Lonchura striata: one gene and its partners. The protein of the gene in region 2 purifies or fractionates together with the protein of the main gene of each other region. This does not show direct contact. Links are inferred from orthologs where the notes say so. Each region holds a gene or a part of one and is shown on either strand. Other genes may lie near its edges.

Evidence for each region.
Region 1: the proteins of SNX9 (region 2) and DNM3 purify together in Homo sapiens (co-immunoprecipitation; 3 studies listed by BioGRID and IntAct, counting the BioPlex papers as one, with this or other methods). This does not show direct contact. The link is inferred for Lonchura striata from reciprocal best matches to the Homo sapiens genes SNX9 and DNM3.
Region 3: the proteins of SNX9 (region 2) and DNM1 purify together in Homo sapiens (co-immunoprecipitation; 6 studies listed by BioGRID and IntAct, counting the BioPlex papers as one, with this or other methods). This does not show direct contact. The link is inferred for Lonchura striata from reciprocal best matches to the Homo sapiens genes SNX9 and DNM1.

What each region holds. Positions count from the first base shown.
Region 1 is NC_134611.1:587,077-594,875, forward strand, and holds the start of DNM3 (dynamin-3), read right to left. Parts: upstream 3,200-7,799; 5' UTR 3,140-3,199; coding exon 2,994-3,139; intron 1-2,993. UniProt on the Homo sapiens protein: Microtubule-associated force-producing protein involved in producing microtubule bundles and able to bind and hydrolyze GTP. Most probably involved in vesicular trafficking processes, in particular endocytosis.
Region 2 is NC_134605.1:54,035,931-54,043,266, reverse strand, and holds the start of SNX9 (sorting nexin-9), read left to right. Parts: upstream 1-4,080; 5' UTR 4,081-4,212; coding exon 4,213-4,224; intron 4,225-7,336. UniProt on the Homo sapiens protein: Involved in endocytosis and intracellular vesicle trafficking, both during interphase and at the end of mitosis. Required for efficient progress through mitosis and cytokinesis. Required for normal formation of the cleavage furrow at the end of mitosis.
Region 3 is NC_134624.1:506,565-514,738, reverse strand, and holds the start of DNM1 (dynamin-1), read right to left. Parts: upstream 3,200-8,174; 5' UTR 3,037-3,199; coding exon 2,876-3,036; intron 1-2,875. UniProt on the Homo sapiens protein: Catalyzes the hydrolysis of GTP and utilizes this energy to mediate vesicle scission and participates in many forms of endocytosis, such as clathrin-mediated endocytosis or synaptic vesicle endocytosis as well as rapid endocytosis (RE).

The sequences.
Region 1 (7,799 bases), on a different chromosome or scaffold from region 2:
CCCCACAATTGCTGCAGAATCCATCCTCATTCAACACCACCATCTACGTACAATACATGTGAGCTAATCCCAACATATTCCCTGCCTGCTGGTAGTCATTAAGGATCCTGTGTGCGCCTGAACAGACCTTGCTGCTACCCTGGAGGCAGTGATGGATATGTGTTATTCAGCAGGACCTGGCTCCCACTCCCAGGCCATCTGCCAGCCCACACAACTGTGCCACACCAGATTCCTCACAACCCTTCCCAAAAATGATGGCAGTGAGTGCATAAACGAGATAGTGGATAACCCTCCACAGGCCACCATGTTTCCTAGGAGCCATAAAGAAGCTGTAACCCTCGATACCACCTGTCAGAAAATAGTTTCTACTGTCCAAGTGCAAAAAAAACGTAATCTTTGCACAACCAAAGGTCTTGTGGAAGACTGAAACACCCCACCCATAGTGCTATAGTGGCTACAGAGAGCAGGAATAACAACCTGATCCTAGAGTTAAAACTGCCTTGCCAACCTCACCCCAGCTCTACCGACAATACATGTTAACAACCAGCAGCACGGTTGTAGCAAGACCCTGGAGGATACCGTGCCTTCCTCATACCAATTACAGCTATTCTTGAAGAAAAGAGATCTTCAATATCTCTCTGAAGGCTAAGAGTTCAAAATCTACTAATGATAATGATTCATGTGGTAAAAAAAAAACCAAACCCAAAATGAAACCAACAAAACACAAAAAAAACTCACAACCACAAAACAATCCAAACCAAAAATACTAAACAAAAGCCATGAGAATTAATGCTGAAACTTCAGAGCAATGCAAGGTCTGTTTTATTTTTGTGTCAATTTCAAAGCTGTGTTAGTATTAGTTAAAGTTGGCCCTGTGGTTGCCAGAGGTCATTCAGTATACCAGCAACAAAGAGAAATTAGGGCAGCATGGTTCTACAGGGAGACTTTCTACCTCTACAAGCCATATTAAGACAGATGTGGATGAAACAAACTTGTTTGCAGAGAGCAGCTTCATTATCCCATAAAAACAGGAATACCCTATGGCTTACTAAAAAGAGACACAGGCCATTTGTCTGCTGATTTAACAAGCAAAATCCTCTTCTGAGCTCATGGATATTTATTAATCTGGTTCTGAGGGTTCACAACCAAGTTTTCACAGCTTAGCCAGGGCACATCTGCTGACCACACGTACTCAGCCTGGAGGAAAGGCGCAAACAAAATATCCGTGCTCAAGTCTCCTGAAATAGGTTTGAAACTATGTAGTTTCATGTAATTTTTAAAACAGGTTCTAAGGTAGCAAGTCAGGAGGTACTACAGATCGGCTCATGCTGAATCTCAAGAAGTTACTCCATAAAACAACGATGTGGAACTCTGAAACCAGGCTGACAGAATCCAAATTCCAAATCCCATGTGACAGAGACATTCTGGTGTTTCATAGCAGCCTGTAATCTCTTCTCTAAAGAGACTGTTGTGAAGTTTCTGCAGGCTGCACAGTGAATAACTACACGAGTAAAACAGTTACTGCCCTTACCTCTCCTTCCTAATTCCTCCTAGAAGTGCCCACATCTCACTCGTGCAGCTGGTTCCAGCCTCCTGGCTAAACAGGCCGGATCAGCACAAACTGCTGTTTTCACCTTTTGCTCCAGCCAGGCACATCCAGGCGGCTCAAAAGAGCAGCTCCACCTGCAGATCCGATGGAGCAGATCCCTCTGGCAGCCGAGCAGTGACGAGCATCTGGGAGCAGTATGATCTTCCATCAGCACAGCTGGAGCCAGAGACCAACACCAGCCCACAGCCCACTCACTCAGCCCCGACCCCAGGGACCAAAACAGCCTCACTGACAAGAAAAATGAAGGTACTTTTTCCCCTCAGCACATGTGCTTTGCACAGCTTTGTGGACACATAGCTCAAGAAGTCAGAAGGTTACCAAAATACTTTTTATGGACTCGTTTGAAGAGAACAGTAATAATTTGATAGCCAATTGTGCTTTCCGAGGATCTCATTTATGTTTTCCAAACTTGAGAGACTCGCCAGTACTGTCAACACCAGTAGCTAGCTGCAGTCTTCAAGGAGAAAGAAGAGGAAGAACTGACATTTAACACAGTCAGTTCTGAGGGAGAGCCAAAGAACCACTATACAGCATTTTTATACCGGGTATCAAGAGCTATCGCAGTCTGACACATGGCCAGGTTGTGGAGTGTCACAGCATTTAATATTACCTTTGCTGAAGACCTCCGCACATCAAAGTCCTTGTATCATACGCACCAGTATTTCGACCGTATAATCCGGACTAGGATCGCAGCACCGCTGCGGGAGCATCACCTCCCTCCGCGGCTCTCTGAGGCAAACGCAGCAGGAACTTCCTCAAACGGCACGTGAAGCCCATGTTTACCTCGGGATGTCTCCAGAGGCACTGCCTGGCCGTCAAAAAGCACAGCCTGAATTGTCAGGCTTCCCTTTTCCTGTCAGTGATTCGTTAGAAACGGTGCGCATGTTGGACTTGACGATCTTGGAGGTCTTTTCCAACCTTAGCGACGCCACAATTCGAATACCCACAGGCGCGTTGGGACGGCGCGAATTTATATGCGATGGGATGGGAGGAATGAGCCGCCCAGAGCCAGCATCCCACCGAAATTAGGGTTTGGGCTGTAAACACCTCGTTCCTCTCAGGCAGCGGGCACCCCCGCACACCCGGAGCGGGCGCTCGCACCGGAGCCGCGGCGGCTTCCCCGCAGCGCGCACATCGCATCACGGGCGCTGCCGGGCCCGAGGCACCGCGGGGAGAGGGACACCGAGCATCCTCGGTGGGGACCGAGCACCCACGGTGGGCTCGGAGCCGCGAGCTGTCCCCCAAACCCGCCTTGGTCCATCCCCGCCCGACACCGCTCCCCCCGCCAGCCGCTCTGAGGGGGCGCGCGCCGCGGCCGCTGGGAACAGCGCGGGCCGTGTGGGGCAGCGGGGGGCGCGGGGCTGCCGTGCCCGCCGCCCCTCACCTGGAGACGCAGTTCTCCAGCACGGAGCTCTTGCCAGCGCTCTGCCCGCCTACCACCGCGATCTGCGGCAGGTCGAGCAGGCAGTTCTGGCCCAGCGCCGCGAAGGCGTCCTGCAGCCGGTTAACGAGCGGGATGAGCCCCTCCATCCCGCCGCCGCCTCCTCCGCCCGCCGCCGCTGACAGGTAACGGCCGGCGCACTGCGCATGCGCCCCTCCCTCCGCGGGCCTGGGGGCGGGGCTCCGTGGGCGGCCACGCCCCCTCCGGTGCGGGTCCCGCTGCCGGTCCCACCATGTCCCACGGTTGTCCCAAAATCTGCTCTTCCCCCCGTTGTGCCAAAGGCCCATCCACGCTCAGAGTCAAGGGGTTGGATTTATTTGTAGTTCTGCACAGAAAGATGGCTCGGTGACAAATCCACAAAGCCAGCACGACAACTGTCAAAAGTTTTCCCTTTTTGTGGACTTTAACAAACCAAAGGCGTTGATGTTTATTGGCTACAAGTTATTTAGTTCCCTTATTAATTAGTGTTCTGTCTTCTGTTGGTTAATGATCCTCTTGCATCCAGTACTAATTAGTCTGCATGCTCAGTCTCTTAAATTAGTGGGGGTTTTTGGGTCAGTGGTCTGTGAGTCAATGGTCACAATTTGCCCCTGCCAGAATTACCTCTTACCCAGCTAGAGCTGACTTCAGCACATTTGCTCAGTTTTTATTAGTAGCTTCCTTATTTTGGGTGTTCTGCCAAATATCCTTGTAGCCCCTAAATTCTGCATTCTTTGTGTCAGCTAGGAGTGGTACACCCTTCCCCCCTTTGGTAACCTCTCCCTAGGTCTGAGATAACTGAAACATGTCAAGCCCTAAACCTTAACAAGGCAATTTTACCAATAAGTAATTTGTCTTTCTACTACCTGGACATCACTTAGAGCTTGCTTGTTATTTTTCATAGATTGCCCAAACAGGCTGTGGAGTCTCCCTCACTGGAGATATCCCAGCTGGACACAGTCCTGTGCATGTGCTCTGGGATGACCCTGCATGAGATGGGAGATTGGACCAGATGCCCCACTGCTCCCTGACAACCCGACCCAATCTGTGGTTCTGTTCCTGCCTGAGGACAAGGCCACCATGGTGCAGGGACCTTGGACACACCACGTGCTGGGACCTTGGACACGAGGAGCACGGTTCACCCAGGTCTGTGCTGACCATGAGACTACCATGCTGCCCCTCTCCCCTGAGAGCCCAGCCCCAGCTGGCCACTGGGAAGGGCTGTGCAATGCCCAGGCATGGGCAGGAGCGCTGCCAGGGTCAGGCACCTTCCGAGGAGGAGCTGGATCCAGCAGGGCGGGCAGCAGGTGATGGCTCAGGAGCAGGCTGGGAAGTGACACTGAGGTCCAAGCCATGTCACTGCCACGGGTTCAATTAAAAATGCACGCTGAGGCTGAGCTAAAAGCTCAGGCACACAACAGAGATGAGATTTAGCTGCGATTACTGGCAGCAGTCACATCATGAAAATATCCCAAAGGCAGGCTTTGGAGTCGTGCAGCGATAAAAGTTATCCTCTCTGTTACAGCAGACACTGGCCTCGCTCAGCGTGAAAAGCAAAACAAAGGGAGCTGTGAACACCCTGCAGGCTGACGGAGACTAACGATCTGGAGGATTATCAAAACTTCTTGGCCAGAGCTCTCAATAAGTGTAAAAAATTACAGCAGACTGACCTATAACTCTGGAAACAAGTAACGGTTTTGAATCGGCAGAGACGGCTTCTCCTCCCTGCTGCAGTTAGATCACAACCTCTGGGAAAGCCTTGCTATCATTTCTGTCTAGTTGGGAGCCTGGGACTTATTGACATAATTATGCCAATTAGCAGCATGATTATTTCTTTCCCCACTCCTGGGTGAGCAAGCTGTGCCAGGAGGCACTGGAGTAGCTGCCTGGCCTTCCTCCAGCTTGTGGGTTTCTATGGAGGCTGGAAGTTGGGAAGAACATTATGAGTGTCCAGAGCACTTTGTGCTACCCCCATGAAATAATTAAGATCCATAGAAGAGCAGCCTGGCCATAGGATTGTGTCTCCACAGGAGACAAATGAAGATTGAGAAAGGCACCATGCCTGGGGAGCAGCACCATGCACACCTTCAGATTGATAATCCAGGGAACGGTCCTTTCTGTGAGGTCTTTAAATTACAGCTTTGTCTGCTTCCATGATTAAAATAAAATAAATTAGAAAAACAACTAAGATTAGGAAAAGTTTGAGTTATTCCCCCAAGTCTGGGAAGTTCCCAAATAAAATTTTTTTGTCTTGTGAAGCAGAGTTAAAGTCATTAATTGCCCGCATTCACCCTACAACTCTATCACTTAAAAAAAAAAATCCATTTTCCTCCCTCCAAAAAAAAAAAAAAAAAAAAAAAAAAAAGAAAAAAAAAGCCACAAGCAGCCAATTATAGATTCCCCACCTTCTGGGAAAAGCACAAACAATTTCATTATGGATGCTTGTGAGAGGTTTTCTTCATTTTTCCAACACCTCCAAGAAAGCAGAGAAGGAGAGAGGAGAGGCACCCGAGCATATCTTTAGGTCTCTGCTTTTCCTGACTGATTTCTCTGGGCAAGTTGTTCCAAATCCCCATGCAGAGCCTAGCCTGGCTTTCTGAATTTGCCAAGATTCAGAGTGGCTAACTTAAAGAAACAGGGGTGCTACTAGATCACTGCAAAGCTTCTTGTAACAAACAACACTGAAATACAAAACTTAAATCAGTGTCAGAGGGCCACGCAAGAAATTGTTCTCTGGGGGAGCAGTAAGGGTGACCCCCAGGAGCACAGAGCTGTGCTGCTCACTGCTTAACCAGCTAATTACAATCTGGTTTTACCCTGCTCACTGGTTAACCAGCTAAACACAATCTGTTGTGCTCAGTTGTGCCCCTAATAATACAATACAATAAAATAAAATATTTATCATTTACTTTTGCTGTGTGCCAGGCTCAGCAAGGAGACAAAACCTCTGCCAAGCACCTTTCCTGGCATGGCAGGAAGGGTGGGTGCCCTGATCCCCAAGGTGACTCCAACAGTGTGGTCTGATGTCACATGTCACCAGCTCCAGCACAGCCTGCCTGGGGCCCCCAGTCACAGCCTCTGGTGCATTTCAGATCAAGGCAACAGACAGCAAGCTTGTCCTGCCACGACTTTCAGAGAAATATATGGCAAAAAATAGCCTGGCTTCAGGGTTCAGCTGAACCCACAAACTCACACACACACTTCTCCCTAACCAGGCAGCGATGTTAACACTGAGGACATTTGGACCAGGTCCCCAGGCTGCTTCCCAAACACACAGCAGTGCAATTCCCTTCAGGGAAAATGAGTTCTGCGTAAACCAGCCCAGTGGGGACCTGCAGACGCCTGCAGTGAAGAGCCAGCCACGCTGCCCTGCCCGGGGCAGCAGAGCCTGCTCCTCTTCCATGAGAACAGGCAGGTTCCTCCACACCTGCTCCAGGGACCTTCCTCACCTCCTTCTTGTGTCAGAACGCAGAGTTTTGGCAGAGTTTTCAGGCAGCTGATGGGCACAGAGCAGGGGGAGGTGTGGGCAAGGGGCAGCTCCCAGGTTCTCAGCAGAACTTGGCTCTGCAGTGGAGCTGCATGAAGGTGCCTGTCAGCATTATGCCTGTGCATTTGCCAGGATAAGAGCTCAGACCTTGAAGCTGCAAAAGATGGAACTCAAGCCCATGAAAGAAAGCCAGAGTGGCTGCAGGCCTGTGATCACGGTGGCTGCAGCATTTCTCCGTGTAAAGAGGATGTGCTTTCTGCCTCCCCCCCACAGCCCGGGGCACTGCTGACTCACTGATCGCAGGACAACACAGTCCCTGTCCCATGTCTCCTCTCTCCTGCCCTGTAACCTCCAGCTGCATTCTTTAGTCGGGTGCATCCCGTTGCAGGGTAGAAAAAGGGCACCGTGCTGCATTGCAGCCTGCAGAGATCTTTCCCTGCAGCCCTCAGCACCCTAGGAAAGAGCTGCACTCCCTCCCTGCAGCCTGGCAGCATGCCTGCTTCCTTGGCCACAAAGCCAGATAAGCCAAGTGCTTCTCCAAGGGAAGATTCCATGGACAAAAACACTTCCTATGTGCTTCCAGCCTCTGGGAGTGGCTGTTGCAGCCCTTGTTGTGCTGGACCATGTCACACAGAATCCCCAGGCCGTGTGGCCAATGTTCTGCCCAGCTGAAGGGAATCAGCCCAGGGCTCAGTCCCTGCAGCTTTTGTTGCTGCAAAATCTCTCCCAGCTGCTTGCTGTGCTTTGAGCTGATGACAGTATGACCCTTATCCCTGCTCCCCAGAGGGAACTGGGGTGTCATTCTCTTCTCTGTTCTTCTCCAGAACAGGGACCCGGGCTGTGAAACCATATGGGGTGTACATGTGGCACCCCATCAGTGCCTGCCCACAGCCACCCTGGGCCAAAAAACCTCTCTGCATCCTTCTACCCAAGCTCAGGAAACTCAGGGCTAACCCACCAACTCCCAGTGTCTCGCTCTCTGGAGCAGCAGCAGGACGTGGATGCTCTGAGAAGGGACTGGGCCAGCCCAAAGCATCCCCAGCTGGCCACAGCCTCACACCTGAGCCGTGGGGTGAGTTACACACCCCTCTCTTTTTGTGCTGGGAAAGCCAGAAAGGAAAAAGTCAACATCTCCGTGCCAGTGGGGGTTGCTAAGTGACGGCAGAACTTGTTTCTATCCCGCCACTGACAGCGTGCCTAGGCTGCAAGGGAAGGAAGTGAGGAGCAAGGGATGTAAACATGAGTACACTGCCAAAACTCTCGACAGATTCACCCTTGCCAAA
Region 2 (7,336 bases):
ATAATGGTATTGGATTATCAGCTCTAAGATAAAATCCTTAATTCACAATCAAATGCATGAAGCACAGTTTTTCTTAGAACTGCTTATTCAGAGAGAAATTCAGAGACTGAAAACTCACAGGAATTTGGGTGCAATTTTGTGTGCAATTTTCTAAAGCAGCTTTTCCAGGAAAGTCTGGACCTAAAATCCAATGGTACTGGCTGCCTTACTGTTTTTACAGTGATCTTCCAGCACCAGGTGCAGAGTAAGATTGGAAAGCATGTCTGTAATCTCCTGAGCACAATTTTGAACTGCCAGGCACAGTTCTGAGTAAATGAGAGGTAAAATCGTGCTTTCCTGCAAATGCCATATGATTCAAGATTTCATGTACTTTGTGTCCAAAAGCTCCCAGCATAAAACAAAGGAAAATATTAGTAATTTTTTTTCCTCAGAATACATTCTGTTAAATGTATTTTTCAGATACATTTGCAAGTGATGCCACTGGACATTGCTGTACAGAGCGGTGCACAAATAGGATTCAGCAACTGCTCCCTTCCTGCTCTGTGCAGATAACACTAGATTTCATACATGTGGCAGCTCCTATCATTTTCTGTCCAAATCTGGGGGAGGGAAGGATACAGAAGATAGGAGGAAGCAATATTTTATATTGCTATCTGGCAAACTTCTCAGAAACATTGAAGAAATGTTGTTAACACAATTCTGAAAGAAACTGCTGTTCAGCTGAGAGGAAACATGATGCCCAAAGAACCTCTTGGGGAGGAGTGGGTGAAGGTGTGCAGATATGACTTCTGAAGATGAAGAATACAGTACTTCTCTTTTAGATTCATAAACCAAATAAATTTTATTTTGAGGCTTTGAAAACGTGAAAAATCTCTACTCCCTCTTAAAACAAGAAGTGTGTATCAGGTGGCTAAGGTAAACATGATAATTAAAAGGAATAAAAAATAGTTGGAATGTTTTTGTAATTTCTTCCTAGTCATTGTTAGGCTTTCCTGATTAATGCAGTTAGAAATCTTGAACTAAAAGCATTTAGTGTGGAACTGATGTTATCATGCACACTACATTGTTAGGCTTTCAACCAAGAAAAAAAAAATCACTTCTTACTTTATAAAACACCTTTGAAAAAAAAGACCTAGGACAATATAATCTCTGTATGCCTCCTGCAAAGATTTCCCAAAAACATGTATTTGATAGCCTGCTCTATTTGCGAAGTTGTTGCCACTAGTGATAATTGTTGCTGAAAATGCCTCCAGAGCTGAGGTAAATGCCTCAGGGTCACCTCACTCACCCAGGTACAGCTAGGGGCACAGGCTCCCAGCAGGAACAAATGCAAGGTGCACCAACTCAAGGAGCTCCAGAGGACAGTAACTTATAAACACAAAACGTAGTTCTTCCACCAGATGGTTTTCAGTTTGAAGGTTATTTGAAGAACACTGTTTCTTTATCATTCCCCACCAAGTTTGCATAAGTCAAAACATACAAGGTCACTGACTTCCTGTGAGCTTGAAGCTACAGGCAGGCTTTGCTGAACAGAGAACATATTCAGCAAATGTTCTCCGTATCTCTTCTCAGAGTCCATCTTTAGTTTTAAAAATCTGCATAGCAGTATTGGCAGGAGCTTTTCATTTGATGAGGCTCTGCAGACAATCACTTCTTTGTGAACTCTGAGTTACTAGGAACCACTGCAGACCACCTAGCTGCAAAAATACACACCTAGTAAAAATCTGTAGAGAGAAGTCACTTATGTGCAGGGTAAGGCATTTTCTTCTGTTACTGTTTGTTTTTTTCTGAGGTGGAGATATTTATAATAGCATACATTGGGGCTTTAGTACAAAGTGAATAATTAGTCAACTGTGTTTGAAAGCTGATAAGCTTGGCACAGAGCACTATACTTCAAAACTACCAAATGCTTAGATATGTAAACAACCCCACTGAAGCCACTGAGATTTCTTTTATGTCTAATGTTAAGCAAACATCCAGTCCTAATTAACTAGGACACAGCTTGGTAGCAGAAAAGTAACTAATTTTGGAAGTTTGAGAAATTTTGGGTGGTTTCATTAGCAATTTGTGTGTATCTGGCTCTCTGTATTAAGAAATAATAAAGCTTACTGCTAAGAGATATGTTTACTCGCAATCCAAAGGGATTCCTGAGAATATCTTCATTGAGACAATAATTAACAGCAATTAATTGCAAACAGTATTGGAAAGATCCCATTTAAAATATTTTTTTTTCTCAGGATGTTCTCTCGAATGAAAGAAACAGTAATCTTTCCTTCATCCCTCAAATTTGTCAAGTAAGACTTATTTTCAAGAACACCTCACAGTGGAAAACTGTGAAGTGGAGGCTTTAAGCACACAGAGAGGCTGAACAAATCATGACTGTGTTCTTCATTCCCCAGATGGCAAGCAGAGCTCTGCTAAAGCACACTGGGTAGCAGCTGCATATTAAACTTTTCTGGCAGCTGTGCTGACCACAGGTAAAAAATGACACAGACTCAAGCTTATGCTGAAGCCACAAGTTTATCATATTTCACATAGCAAAGCAGCATCTGGAGAAAGGATAGAGGGTGCTTCACAGTTCTATCAGCTGGGGATCCCTAAAGGATACAGTGCTGGGTCTCTGGGTTTCATACCTCTCCCCTTTTTATAAGATGTTCACCAAAGGGCTGGATCAAAATATGCCATGTTGGAAAGATTGTTGCTGAGAAAGTGGAAGAACAGGGTGTCTTAGTACAGAAATGAAGTTACCTTCAGTGAGTTTTGCTTGTAAGGTATATGAGATGCCAGTCTATTGATGGACCACATGGCAAAACTGATGTTAAATACAATAGCTCATCTTTAAGGTGGTTTCCTACAATGCCACTTATGAGCCACACAGAAAGGTTTCACTTTAGGTACTGCTGTTACAGAGAGTAGGAAGTTGGAAATGTTGTATTTAATTGAATTCTGGAAAAGCTAAAACATAAGCAAATGAGTTTGAAAACTTCTGAAGTTAAGCAGTTCAATCACTCAAAAAGTGGTGGCAAATGAACAGCCAGCTTCCTCTTATTTCCTCATCCTCACTTTCCATGGAAACTATTTCACAGGTCCAACTAGGAAAATGTTTTCCAATGTAAAAAACTCTTTTAATAAAGCTCTCACTGTGAAACTATACCAATAGCAGAAAAAAAGCTTGTAATTCTATGGGCAAGGAAATATAGATGTAGACATTTATGCAGTTTCCCTACAGCTCACCTGCCTCCCAGGGCTCTCCCCGGCGTCCCTGGTGATTACACTGTGTATTTCCTTCCACAGAAAGGAAGTCTCCTGATTCCAGGCCAACCACTATAAATGGGGGTGCAGCTAAAGAAGCTGCACTTTTTGGATGATGCAGTACCTTGCATGATCACTGCTACAGTATTTTCAAATTCCCTTTGATTTAGCCTCCCACCTCATCTCTCCTGCAGGCTGGAAGTCAAGTGAGGTCGTAGGTATTTTTTATGAGATGGTCATAGAGTGCCCAACAGGAACGCTGCCGACCTTGAGCAGCTATCTCCTTGGTGCTTTTTGCTGCTGCTAACTGCTGCACACCAAGGCCCGGCCGAAACAGGTCAGGCACGACGTACACCGCCCTGGCAGCCGTGGATGGAGCCTAGCCGAGGGAAAAATTGCCTTCCTTGCTTTGAAATTTCCGTTCAAAGGCATCCGAGGGGCACATACCGCTTTCCTGAGGGCTCTCTCCCCCACGCGAACGAGAATTTGAAGCCGAACTGACTACAAATCAAAGCCCTTGAGGGCATGGGGGGTGGGCGAGGTCGGTCCGTCCGCCCGCCCCCATCGCCCCCGGGACCGGCCGGGGCGGCTCCCCCGGGATCGGCGCGGCGCGGCGGGTGCCTCCCTCCCCCGGCGCTGACGGAAGGGCTGCGGGCAAACAGCCCCGCCAGTGGCCCGGGTGCCGAGCCGAGCCGGCGGAAAGAGCGGCCGAGGCGCGGGCATCGCGGCGCGGCCACATCAGCCTCGGCCTGCCCAGCGCCGGCGCTTGGCTGCTGAGCCGCACAGCGGCCCCCAGGCGGCGGCGGCGGCGGCCGGGGACGCTGAGGAGGAGCCGCCTGCGCGGCCCAGCGGCGGCGGGCGGGCCGGACACACCGACCGAGCGGCCGAGCGGGCGAGCAGCCGCGGCACGGAGCGAGGGAGGGAGCGCAGAGCGGCAGCGCAGCCCGCGCCGGCAGCGCCATGGCCACCAAGGTGAGCAGCTCCGCGGTCGGGGCGCCCTCTGCGCCGGCGGGCCCGGCTGGGCGGGCGGGGGTCCCGGCTGGGCGGGCGGGCTGCGTGCCGGGGCGGGGGCCGGTCCTTCCCGCACCGTGCCCGGCCGCGGGACGGACGGGGGAGCGCCGCGCTCGGGCCTCGGCGCCGCTGCCCGGGCCCTGCTCGGGGCTCGGCGGAGCAGCGGCGACTCCGGGACGGGGGAAAGTTTGCTTTTCTGCCGTGTTTGTGGCCCCTCCGCCCCCACTCCTCGGCGGAATGATCGTAGTGTCCAAGAGCCGCCGGAGGCCGAGGGTGCTGCTCCTGCAGCCCGGGCGCCCCTTGCCCCGCTGCCGCCGAGCCGGGAGCGGCGGGCGCTGGGAGAGGCCTCGGCCACCGGCGGGCCCCGCGGTCCCGGCCCCGCCGCCCCGGCCCGCTCGGCCCCCGCCGCCCCGGCGCGTCAGGGCAGCTGATGCTTCCCCCCTCGGTCCGGGGCCGGCTGTGCCGTGACTGCGGTGGGAGCCCAGAGTCCGCGCTGCGCGGTCTCTTAATAGTAAGCTGTGATTTTACACGCCAAAAAAAAAAAAAAAAAAAAAAAAAAAAAAAAAAAAAAAAAGACAGGAAGTTAAATTTTGTTCAGTTCTTCAACAGTATCTGCTGCTAATGCAACTGTCAAAATTAGCCCATCCTATCTGAAAGCGTCCTCTTTCTAAATCAACAGTATTTGTTTACTATACTGGTTGATGAAAGCATCTCTACTTGTGTAGGTGTGAGTTAACATGCACCAGCAACTCATCTGTGACTTGTCTAAGTATCTCAGGAAGACCTTTTTGGTATTTGAAGTATTACTTTGAGTCACCTGATTCCATTAGCTTGGCCAGCAGTTTTAAAAACTTCCTTTTACTGAGGCAGTTCTCATACAGTGCACTATTTATGTTGCTCTTCTCAGTGCTGAAGAAATTCCGCATCTTGAATGTGTCAGATTTAATGTATAAGTAGCTGTCTCTGTAGCCATGTAAACTGATGGTGGCTCATGTTTGGATAAACTTTTTCCGAAGCACCGAGAACTTGATTTTAGGTTTCAAAATCACTTAGGCAGTTTTAAAATACAATGAATATGGTCAATATAGTGAAATTTATGTTTCTGTTGAGCTTTTAGAATATTGTTGATAGACTTGGTTTATACATTGGTGGGTTCCAGTAATTCATGAGATGTGTGTATGAATATTTTTCACTCAATCTAATGACTGTAGATGGCAAGAAAATTACTTCTGGTGTGTATATACTACATAATGCACAGTATGTTAGGCAGATACTGTATTAAACCAGTGTACTGTTTTTGAGCTCACTTTGAGGTGCAGTGTCCTCATGGGATCTGTGTTCTCTGCCGAACATATGATCCATTTTATTCATACATTTGGAAACTGTCGCTTTGCTTTTCGTTAAATATTTTTTGGAAACATTATGGCCCCAGACGGAAGGGCGTATAATTTCTGACTTCCTTCAAATCTTAATCTAATCCAGACTGGTTTAAAATCAGGTGGTGCAATTTTTTTCATTCTACACATTGCAAGTTATGGTAATGTACTTTGACTTAAAGGCTAAAATGATAAGTGATAGTCAGGAAAGAGTTGGTATTTTATTGCTATTATTTTATTATGCTGGTAACTCTGAGTAGTACTGAAGAGAAGCTTACTTTATTTTCTGTGAGCTCTACTCAGGAGATGGGTCCCTCTCTGCAAACTGCCCTATTTTGGATTTTATTTCATTCACGTTGTGCAAACATCACCAATAGTAAAGGATATATTGTTTTTTGAGCAGTGTGAGGGAGTAACTGGCTGAAAAAACAGTGTTTAGGAGCTCAACCAACTACTCAGTTGGCTCAGTCACCATTTCATTTGGAAAGTAAATTTTGTTTTTTAAATTGTAAACAAATTTCTCACTGTCTGTTTGTGCTCCTTCACAAATTGCCTCTTTTGAAAGAAATATTCAAGGTGTATTTGTATTTTATGTGAAATGTTAACAAAAATTAAACTGTAGTTTTCTGGAGTATGAATTTTTGAACTTTAATGGTGTCAAATACTGTATAGCTGCTAAGGGCGACTGACAGTCTGGCCTGGTCTGTGCTGCACGGGCTGTTAGTGCTTCCTGAATTGATTCCTGTTTAAACTAGAATATACTTTCCAAGGAAAGCTGGGGGTAAATTCAGTCTTGATTTTAATGCTTTCAGTGATAGAAAATCCAGTCTGTGTTTTTTGTTGTTGTTTTTAAATAATCTCTCTTGCTGTTGATGCTTCTTTCTTTTGAATCTGAACTTGCCCAGCATCTGTTTCCAGATTTATCATTTTCTCTACAAGATTTACTTGAATCAAGATTTGCTTGAATCAAGGCGTTAGATTTTGTGAGGATGGAAGATGCAGATAGGGGTTTCTTCCATAGCTAGCTTGTAATCCTTGGCCAGCTTGATAAACCACAGCAATTAAATTCCTAGAGTTTTCATGTATGAAAATGTGGTATACCATTGTGTAATGTGCTGACTCTTTTCTGTACCATTCAAAATCAATGCATTTCTTTTTGAAGCAAGAAAAGCTTTTAGGGGAAAGGACTACTATTTTCATACCAAGAAGCCCTTACTGATGCTTTCCTAGCATATTTGTTAGCTGGCAACTTGGCAGGGAGTCTTTTGTCCAAACAGTTGGGGTGGCTGTAGGCCTTAAGCACTCTGAGGGCTGTGGAGGCTGTGTCTGATGTTGTGAGCTAAATTAGCAGTGGCCATTGCTCCTTGTCCCTTCTTGCTCCTCATCCCATGCTGTATGAATATCCCAGGAGTCTACTCCATACACTTGTCAGGCCTGTTTTCAAGATACAATAAGTTGCTGAAATAGCAAAAATATTCACTGAATGGAAACAGTGGCGCCATTTCTTCAGTTCTGGGTAGTTGCAGTAGTTGAAAGTTTGCTCAGAGCTGACACAGAAGGTTGTGTGGGGTGGTATGGTTGGGAACAGGAGACTTTTATGGAGAAGGGTGAAAATATAAAAGGGAAATGGAAGAGCTGAGGCTTCTAGAGGCAATTCTTCTGTTGGCTAGATCCTTACTGTAGCTTGGCACTGGATT
Region 3 (8,174 bases), on a different chromosome or scaffold from region 2:
TGATTGCAGGCAGTATCACTCCTCCCTGCTCGTAGGTTTCCACTGAATGTGGGACTCAGTGCTACTGCAAGGTGCCTGCAGCAGCCCTGGACTGAAGCCCTGCCACAACACAGGTCTGGCAGGGGGCAGGTGTGCTGTCCTGTTAGGGAAACGTGATTTGATGACAATTTGAAAGGAGCCCCACAGGTCCTGAGCAGAGAAACCAGCCCTGGCAGGGCCTCCAGCCCCTGTGCTGAAGTGTCTGCATCATGCTAATCAGCCAGTACCAACCACATCAGCATTTGGTCTTGCACAGATTTCCATCCGCTCAGAGAGAAACTCATCAGTACTCACATTCCCTGTGCAGCAAGCAGCTGCTGAGCAATAGCTGCACCACCATCCTGGTATCAAGCAGGAGCAGTGACATATGTCATGTCCACACTACAGCAATAATTGTATTTGTACACAGTAGGTCTACACACAGTTTCTTCTTATGGCTGTTCAGACAAGAAAACATCCCCTATCACAATTACACTGAAGAACCATGCTCATTCTGGATACTATTTCCATAGCTCCTTATCATGGTTACCAATACCCACAGAGAAAGAAAAGAGACTATACATTACAGCAGGGCCCCAACACTATTTTAACAGGATTGGGATTTGCAGCATATACACATACATTATGTGGTAAGAGGTCTCAAGTTACCAGTCTAAACTAGCCAGCACTCAGGGGTATCAAATGGAGAAAGACCTTTTCACACTGACATTTTCCATTTCCCCTCCAATTATTTCCTCTAAATGCTTTTCTACCGACAGCTCTCAGCTCCTGCTCAGGGGACCTTTAATTATTTCATTTTCGAAAAGCCACAGCGCTGTAACTTGCTGCTAGAGAGACAGCTGATGGGACACGGTGAGGTCATAAGTTCTCCTGTGACTGGAGTCATCAGAAAGAGACAGAAGATAATTGAATTCATATATTTTCCACCAAGCAGATAAAATGCCATTCTAAATTAGTGCCAGTGTAGATGCATCAAGGATTAGTAAATCCTCTTGTGTGGTTGGTCTAAAGGAGAGGAGCAGTTTACCCCAATACACTGACTGTCCTTCCTCCAACAAATCCCCCTCTGGCCCAGCAGCCCGACATTATCTACGACACCACTGCAGCACTGCCTGCACAGATCCTCTAAAAAGGATTTATGAGCTTTGACTGCCAGTACTTAGAAAGCATGAAAACAGCAGGGCCAACAGGTGAACCCATTTTGCTCAAAGACTTCAGAAGATCCATTTTCCCCTTCTTCGAAAGCCACAGCCCAGCAAGTTTCTCACTTGGGTGGCAGGAATTTTATTTCTTTTCTGTGACTGTGGACAAACAAGTGGATTCTGGACTATGACCTGAGACTCAGTAAAATGTGTTTCTGCAATGTCTGGCCCTTGGCATGATCCCAGCATCTCTCAGGGATACACTGCATGGACCTTTGGAAGTTAGCTAGAAGAGATACCAAACTCTTCAAATTTTATATTCTTATTTTTTCAAAACTCTTTGATCTATGGCAGAGAAGAAAACATTTTATTTTGACCATGCTTTCTTTGTACCAGATGTAACCCCTGAGCTTTCCTCCTAGTACACCCAGCACTCACTGCTCAAAGATACCCTTGCACGGGTCCAGAATTTGGCTACTTGCAGCTAAGCAAGCAGTTAATCCACACCACAGACCCTTCTGACAGTGGAAAAGCCCTATAAGCCATCGAACAGCAAACAGCTTAAAAGAAAAAGTGGGGGTTGGGAAATGAGATCCAGTAGATGTTGTCACAAATGCAGTTTGCTGAAAGAGAAAAGCCCACGCAAGCATCTGACCAGGTATCAGCAATCACTGCTCTTAAGGCAAGTCCCCAGAAACCTGCGTGCTCCTTACAGCATAAAAAACCACTTTGATAACTAAAACCCGTATATAACTTAATACAATTAATTAACAAGGCCAGAAAAAAGGTGAGGAACGTTCCCCCCCTCCCTCCAGGTGTTGTGTGTCTGCACTGGAGGAGATACCCAAGCAGCGCGGTCTGCAATTTACTCAAGTTGCAGATGATGAATGCGAAGGTCACATGAAGGGAAAGCATCAGTATATTGCCTGCCACAAAATGGTAGCACCCGGGGATTTGAGCATATAGGATAGCTATAACCCCGTCCTTCCTATAGCCTCCCCGCAGCTCCTGACATGGCATCCGCTATGGAGGACAGCGAGCCTGGGCTGGGGGAGGGGGACGGAGCAGATTAAACTTAAACACCCTCCGCATCACTCCCCCCGCAGCGACAACATCCATCTCTGAGCCCCGCACCGAGCAGGGGACGGATGGGGCCGGCCCCCACAGCCCCTTCAGCCTCCTCCGTTATGTAACACCAGGACGAGGGGGGGCTGCCACCGGCCGCCAAGGTGCGGCAGTGGCGGGGACCCCGCTGCGGAATGCCCCCAGGCGGGGAGCGAGCCCTCCCTCCCTGCCTTCCTCCCGCGCCTCCCCGTACCCCTGCACCGCAGCGCCCGGGCGTCCTGCAGCGCTGCCCGCGCACCACACACGCGCCGAGCGGAGTAGCCGCGAGCGGAGCGCAGTCCCCGCTCCGCGCGGTCCCCGCACCGCGGCCAGAGCGCCCGCACCGCGCTGCCCGTGCGGAGCCGCTGCCCGCGCGGAGCCGCTGCCCGCGCTGCTCCCGCACCGCGCTGCCCGTGCGGAGCCGCTGCCCGTGCGGAGCCGCTGCCCGTGCGGCGGCTCTGCCCGCGCTGTCCCCGCACCGCGCTGCCCGTGCGGCGGCTCTGCCCGCGCTGCTCCCGCACCGCGCTGCCCCCGCACCGCGCTGGCCATGCGGCAGCTCTGCCCGCGCCCCCGGGGACACCCCCGCTCACCTCCCGACGAAATTCTCCAGCACGGAGCTCTTGCCGGCGCTCTGCCCCCCCACCACGGCGATCTGCGGCAGGTCGAGGTTGGCGTTCTGCCCGATGGCGGCGAAGGCGTCCTGCAGCCGGTTGACCAGCGGGATGAGATCCTCCATCCCGCGGTTCCCCATGGTTGCGGCGCGGCTCTTGGCACAGGCGAGCTCGCACTAACCCTTCCCGCAGCCCTCCCCGGCTGTGGGGCCGGTGGGCAGCGGCTCCAGCCCGCGCCCCTCGCCCCGCTCGACGCCGCCCGGGCTCCGCTCGCCTCAGCCCGCCCGCCGCGCCTGTGGAGCGCCCCGTGCTGCCGCCAGGGGGCGTTAAAGGTACCGGCGCCGCGCTGCATCCCGGGAGATGTAGTCCGGCGGCCGTGAGGGGCCGAGGGGGCCGGGATCGGGGCGGCGCGGCCCTGGTGTCTGTGCCCAGAGACCTGGGAACGGGGCTCGCTCCCAGAACCAGAGCAGTGCAGGTTACCCGGGGCTGCCTCTGTGTGCGGCAGGTTGGCACACCGGCGTGGCCCAGCCGGTGTGGGTGTGCTGGCCCCGCAGTCAGTCCCGGTGTACCTGTGGGTGAGCCCCGCACGGTGCCGAAGCCCTGTGGCGGTCACTGCCGCCAGCCGTGCAGCGCTGCAGCGGGCAGGGAAGATGTGCTGGAAGAACCCACTTGGCTCGGCTCCTACACCTGCACTTTGTGATCCTCACAGCCGCAACGTTTACTCAGTGCGCCATGGCTTGGTCACAGCACCTGTATGGGAGGGCTTTGTGTGGAGACAGCACTTGTGAAATCACCAAAATGCAAGAAACACTTGAGATTATTAAACTGGAGCTTTGCAAAAATGCTACCACTCTCTGAGCATCTGGCTAGAATAAGATGGCAGAGGTTAAAATAAGAATTTTTTTTTTAAGGTCTCTTCCAACCCATTCTATGATTCTGATGCTTCATTCAAACACAGATGTAAAATGTATCAATTTCTGTTTATAGCTGTAAAACAGTGGATGTGTTGCCAGGCTTGTTTTAGAGAAACACAAACAGGTGCTTCATTTTATGCACCCAGATTTTGTTTTTAAAATTACTTGTCTGCAATAAAGAGGGAACAGCTTGGTTTTATGGTTTTTAAAAGGGATAGATTTTTAATAAGAATATAACATGAGGCCATATTTGATTTCAAAGTACAGCAATGAAAACAAGTGTTCAAAAAAGCATCTGATGGCTAGCAATGACTCAGAAGGATGGAGAGTGTCGCATTTCAAACACCCCTCAGTTCGTGCTACCCAAGACTCCTATTCACAGCTCAGAGAGGGATGGGGGTGGAGGGGGAAATGAAGTACAAAAAACTGCAACAGATTTTGAGCTGTCTGTTTTGTTTTGTACAGCAGCTTTTTAGTTATAATAATTATAATGACTATTTCACAGGTGTCCATCAAATTTAATCCATGCAAAAATACCTATGTGGACATACAGAGAAACTGAGGCAACCATGGTGAGGGATGAATTTGCCCCATGCTCTAGCACATCACCAATGTGCAGGTAAGAACACTGAAGGAAGGGAAGGGAGCTGCTCCATCTGTACGGGTAACACCATTGTAGGGCATACGTGGGCAGTTTTGGGGGCTGTCAATGCTATTTTTTCCTCTCAGCAAATTACCCAGTAAATCTCAAGAAATAAGCTTAAGGAATTCAATATAGACTGTGGACAAAAGCCTTTGAGCATCCCTGCAGCCATTCAGATAATTTATGTTGAAGGATTCTGGAAAAAAACTGCTATAGATAGCTGCTCCTTGTAAGAGGTCACCACAAAAAGAACAGTGAAGAGTATCAAAGGCTCAAATAATGATGTCACCTTCCTCCCTGGATCAGAGCTGAAGCTCAGGGAACTTTAGACCATGAGGATCTTTGAAGCTTTATTTGAGGAACCAAAAGCAGAAAACTGACCTTTTCCCAGGGCTCGCTGTACCGTGAAGTTCACCAACTGCAATACAAAGACTGCCCAGTTGCATCACTTCAGTCACCTCACACAATTTACCAGCTGTACTAAAAACTCTCAGTGGCCATGGCCAGCCTCACCTGGGGCTTCCCCCCACATCTGTGGACCTGGGTGGGCCATCAGTCCTGCTGACTTATGGAGACGTGTTTGTCTCTGGTTGCAGTCTATGGAGTCTTTGGGTCTGGCTTTCACACATAGGTTGACTCCTTAGCTTCATCCCCATGTACACTGGGTAGATATTTTGTTCTGGTTGAGTCAGCTCTAGAACTAATCATTCAGGTGATATTTCTTTTGGAAAAGCTAAAATGAAACTAATCCATTTTCTTTGAGAAATGTTTGTGACAGACTATTGAAAATATAATATATCAACAGCTGATGTTGAAGACTGAGGGGAAAAATAAGATTTATATTGCCAGTTAAGGAGCTCATACAGTATAAAGGCTCATGCATGACTTCTTTGCAGGTGATTTTTCCTACACTATCTAGTTTTATTTTTCCATTAAACTAATACTTAGTTCTTAGGAAATGTGGTCCTTTGGGGGATATATGAGGGGTTTTGGCATTATTGAAATCTTAAAGGGCAAAACTGGACAGGAGGGATGAGAGGAGCTAATAGGGTGCTCTCCAGGCACACAAGAAAGCAATAAAAGAAATTATGGAATTGGAAAAACATGCAGAAATATTGGCGAATTTTGCATGGATCAGTATTAGTGTAAAACTGAGAGATGCACAGAATCTGCTCCAGCTTCTTTGTCCTGCAGAGCTTTTTGTAAGCAGATGAGCTCCAGTGTGTCTGCCTGCAGCATCACCCTAAACCACTCATTTACAGTGTGAAGTCTGGACGCTTCTGCAGCGACTGCAGCCGCCCAGCCCAGAGAGACTGACCCCGAGCATCCCAGACAGCGAGGCTTGGATTTTCTGAAGCTTTACGAACCTACTCCTCCCTCTGATGAAAAAGCGAACTGCAGGCACTCGGAATCGCTCCTAGAGCCTTCCATTTTCTCCCCTGCCACAAACTGAGTTGCAGGGATGTCTCAGCAAACATACCTTTTGATTCTGTAATACCTCCTACCTGTGACTTACTCAGCAGCATTTAGCAGACAGAGCAGGAAAAACAAAAGGAATTTCAATAACTGGAATGAATAGGAAAAATCTATTTTTTTATCTTAGTAGAAAAACTGAAGATGTGAGCAAAGAAAAACAAGAGGAATGAAAGATTCCCCCCGCCCTGTGCTATAAATATTTCTGAATGTACTTTAACATGAATCCCTAAAAATGCATGTGGCCAAGCATATGTGTGTTTCTATGTATGGCTATCAACATAACCACAGTTGTGTATGCTGATTTTGTCACCTCATGCAAATAGGACTCCCAGTTTAGTTAGCATAATTAGAAATAGACATTTGAGAGCTGGATTCTGTCCTTCATTCCTTGCCCTTGCAAAAATAACATATCTAGTCCTCAGAGGAAAAAAGAGGCAAAAATGTGGAAAGCAATTAGCTTGTGAGTTTCTAAGTTCCTTGCAAACTGTTTCTGCTGACTCCAGGTAGTGTGAATGTTTAGAACATTTCACTGTGGGTCTTGAAGTGGATAATTCTGGCCTTTGGGGTTCCTAAAAATGGTTATAAACACAGGTAAAAATTTTAATTGAATGGTTAAAAGTTCCAAAAAGAAACTGGTCTAGGATTGTCATTGTCCATACTAATACTACATGATACAGCTGATCAATAGTTAAAAATATTAACTAAAATTAGCCTCTTACATTTCCATAACTATCTAAAGCTGCATATAGAGATAGAAAACGCTTAAGTATCTATTTTCTAGGTACTAAAGTGCTACTATAGTAGCAATGGTACCACAGTAACATCATCAATCTCTTGTGGTATCAGTTACTCAGAGAAAAAAAGTTGATTTCTAATGCTCCTATTAATTGCAAAAGCTATTTGAAAGAAAAGCAGTCTTTAATTTTTGAGTTTTCAAATAGAATGCTTTTCTTTGTAGAATAACATAGTGAGATGCTTCTGCATCTTCTGTGCTTAAACTGAATTGGTGTGAAAATCCCCCAAAAAGAGGTAAAAGAAGGTAAATCTGGTGTATAAGACACTAGGACAGTATTATTGTGAGTGTAACTTGCCAGAAGCCAGAGTATACATAAGGAAAGAAAGAAGCTGAATGTTATACTCCATTAAGAATGGGATCTGTGCATGGATGTGATTTTAAATTAATATTTTAAGAGCAACAAAGATGAGTTCTCTGTGCTTTCTGCATCCTGTAGATGTCATAAAATAGCTCCTGGTATATATTTTAGCTTGTGAGACTGAAAGTCGCTAATAGGAGCTGATTGACCACATGGTAAAATGGATGTAAAAACTATTTTTACCTCTTGTGGGCCTGTCAAGGACTAGGACTAGGTTTCTAGAACTACATTACAAAGAATGAGGGAAAACATCCTTTAATGCACAGATCATTTTGGTTTGAAATGTTGTGTGAATCCAGTCATCCTCCAGCTAAAACAGACATGGAAAAACAGTGTAATTCCAGTAACTAATATCAGCTGTTAAGACCATGTCTGGTGAAACCTGACCCATTCTTTCAATACATAGACCCCCAAACTAGGAAAAGAAAGTACTTTAAAGCTCCATATGCTTTTTCTCCAAGAAGTTTGTGGGGCTTAAATACATTATGGTGAGAACTAGTTATATCCTGGTGAAATGGATGAGTAATCACACCATCCTTGCAGATTGCAGAGGAAATTGTGGGCACTGCAGTATGTTGGTGCTGTCATAGGCGCTGAGAAACTTGGGTTTTCAAAAGTGATGTGGCTTCACCAAGGGTTGCATACCAAGTCTTTTTCAAAGCCAAAATTAAAACATAAAACTGCACAGTGCAGTCATATGCTGGAAATTAGAAATCTCTGGTTATCTGCATGCCTGATCCCTGGAAAAAAATTCATATAGCCCAGCAAGAACTTGGCTGTATAATACAATCCAGCTCCTGAATAAAAAGCATTCATATGCTCTGTCCTCTTATCTGCCAAAGGATTTCATAACCCTGATCTAATCATACAGAGGTGTAGTGCAGGTTGCCTTACAGTCATGATCCAACAACTCCACTGACTACAGTCTCTGCAATGCAGGATGTTCTCTGGTCCTTCTCTTAGCTTGAACTTCTAAATCTTACTCTGTTTCATTCATTCCCATTGCCAATGAGGCACTCCCAAGCCTAGGGGATACATGGGTTGGTTTTGAGTGATAATGCTGTAGTCTGCATTGTGCCTCTTTTTGAAGT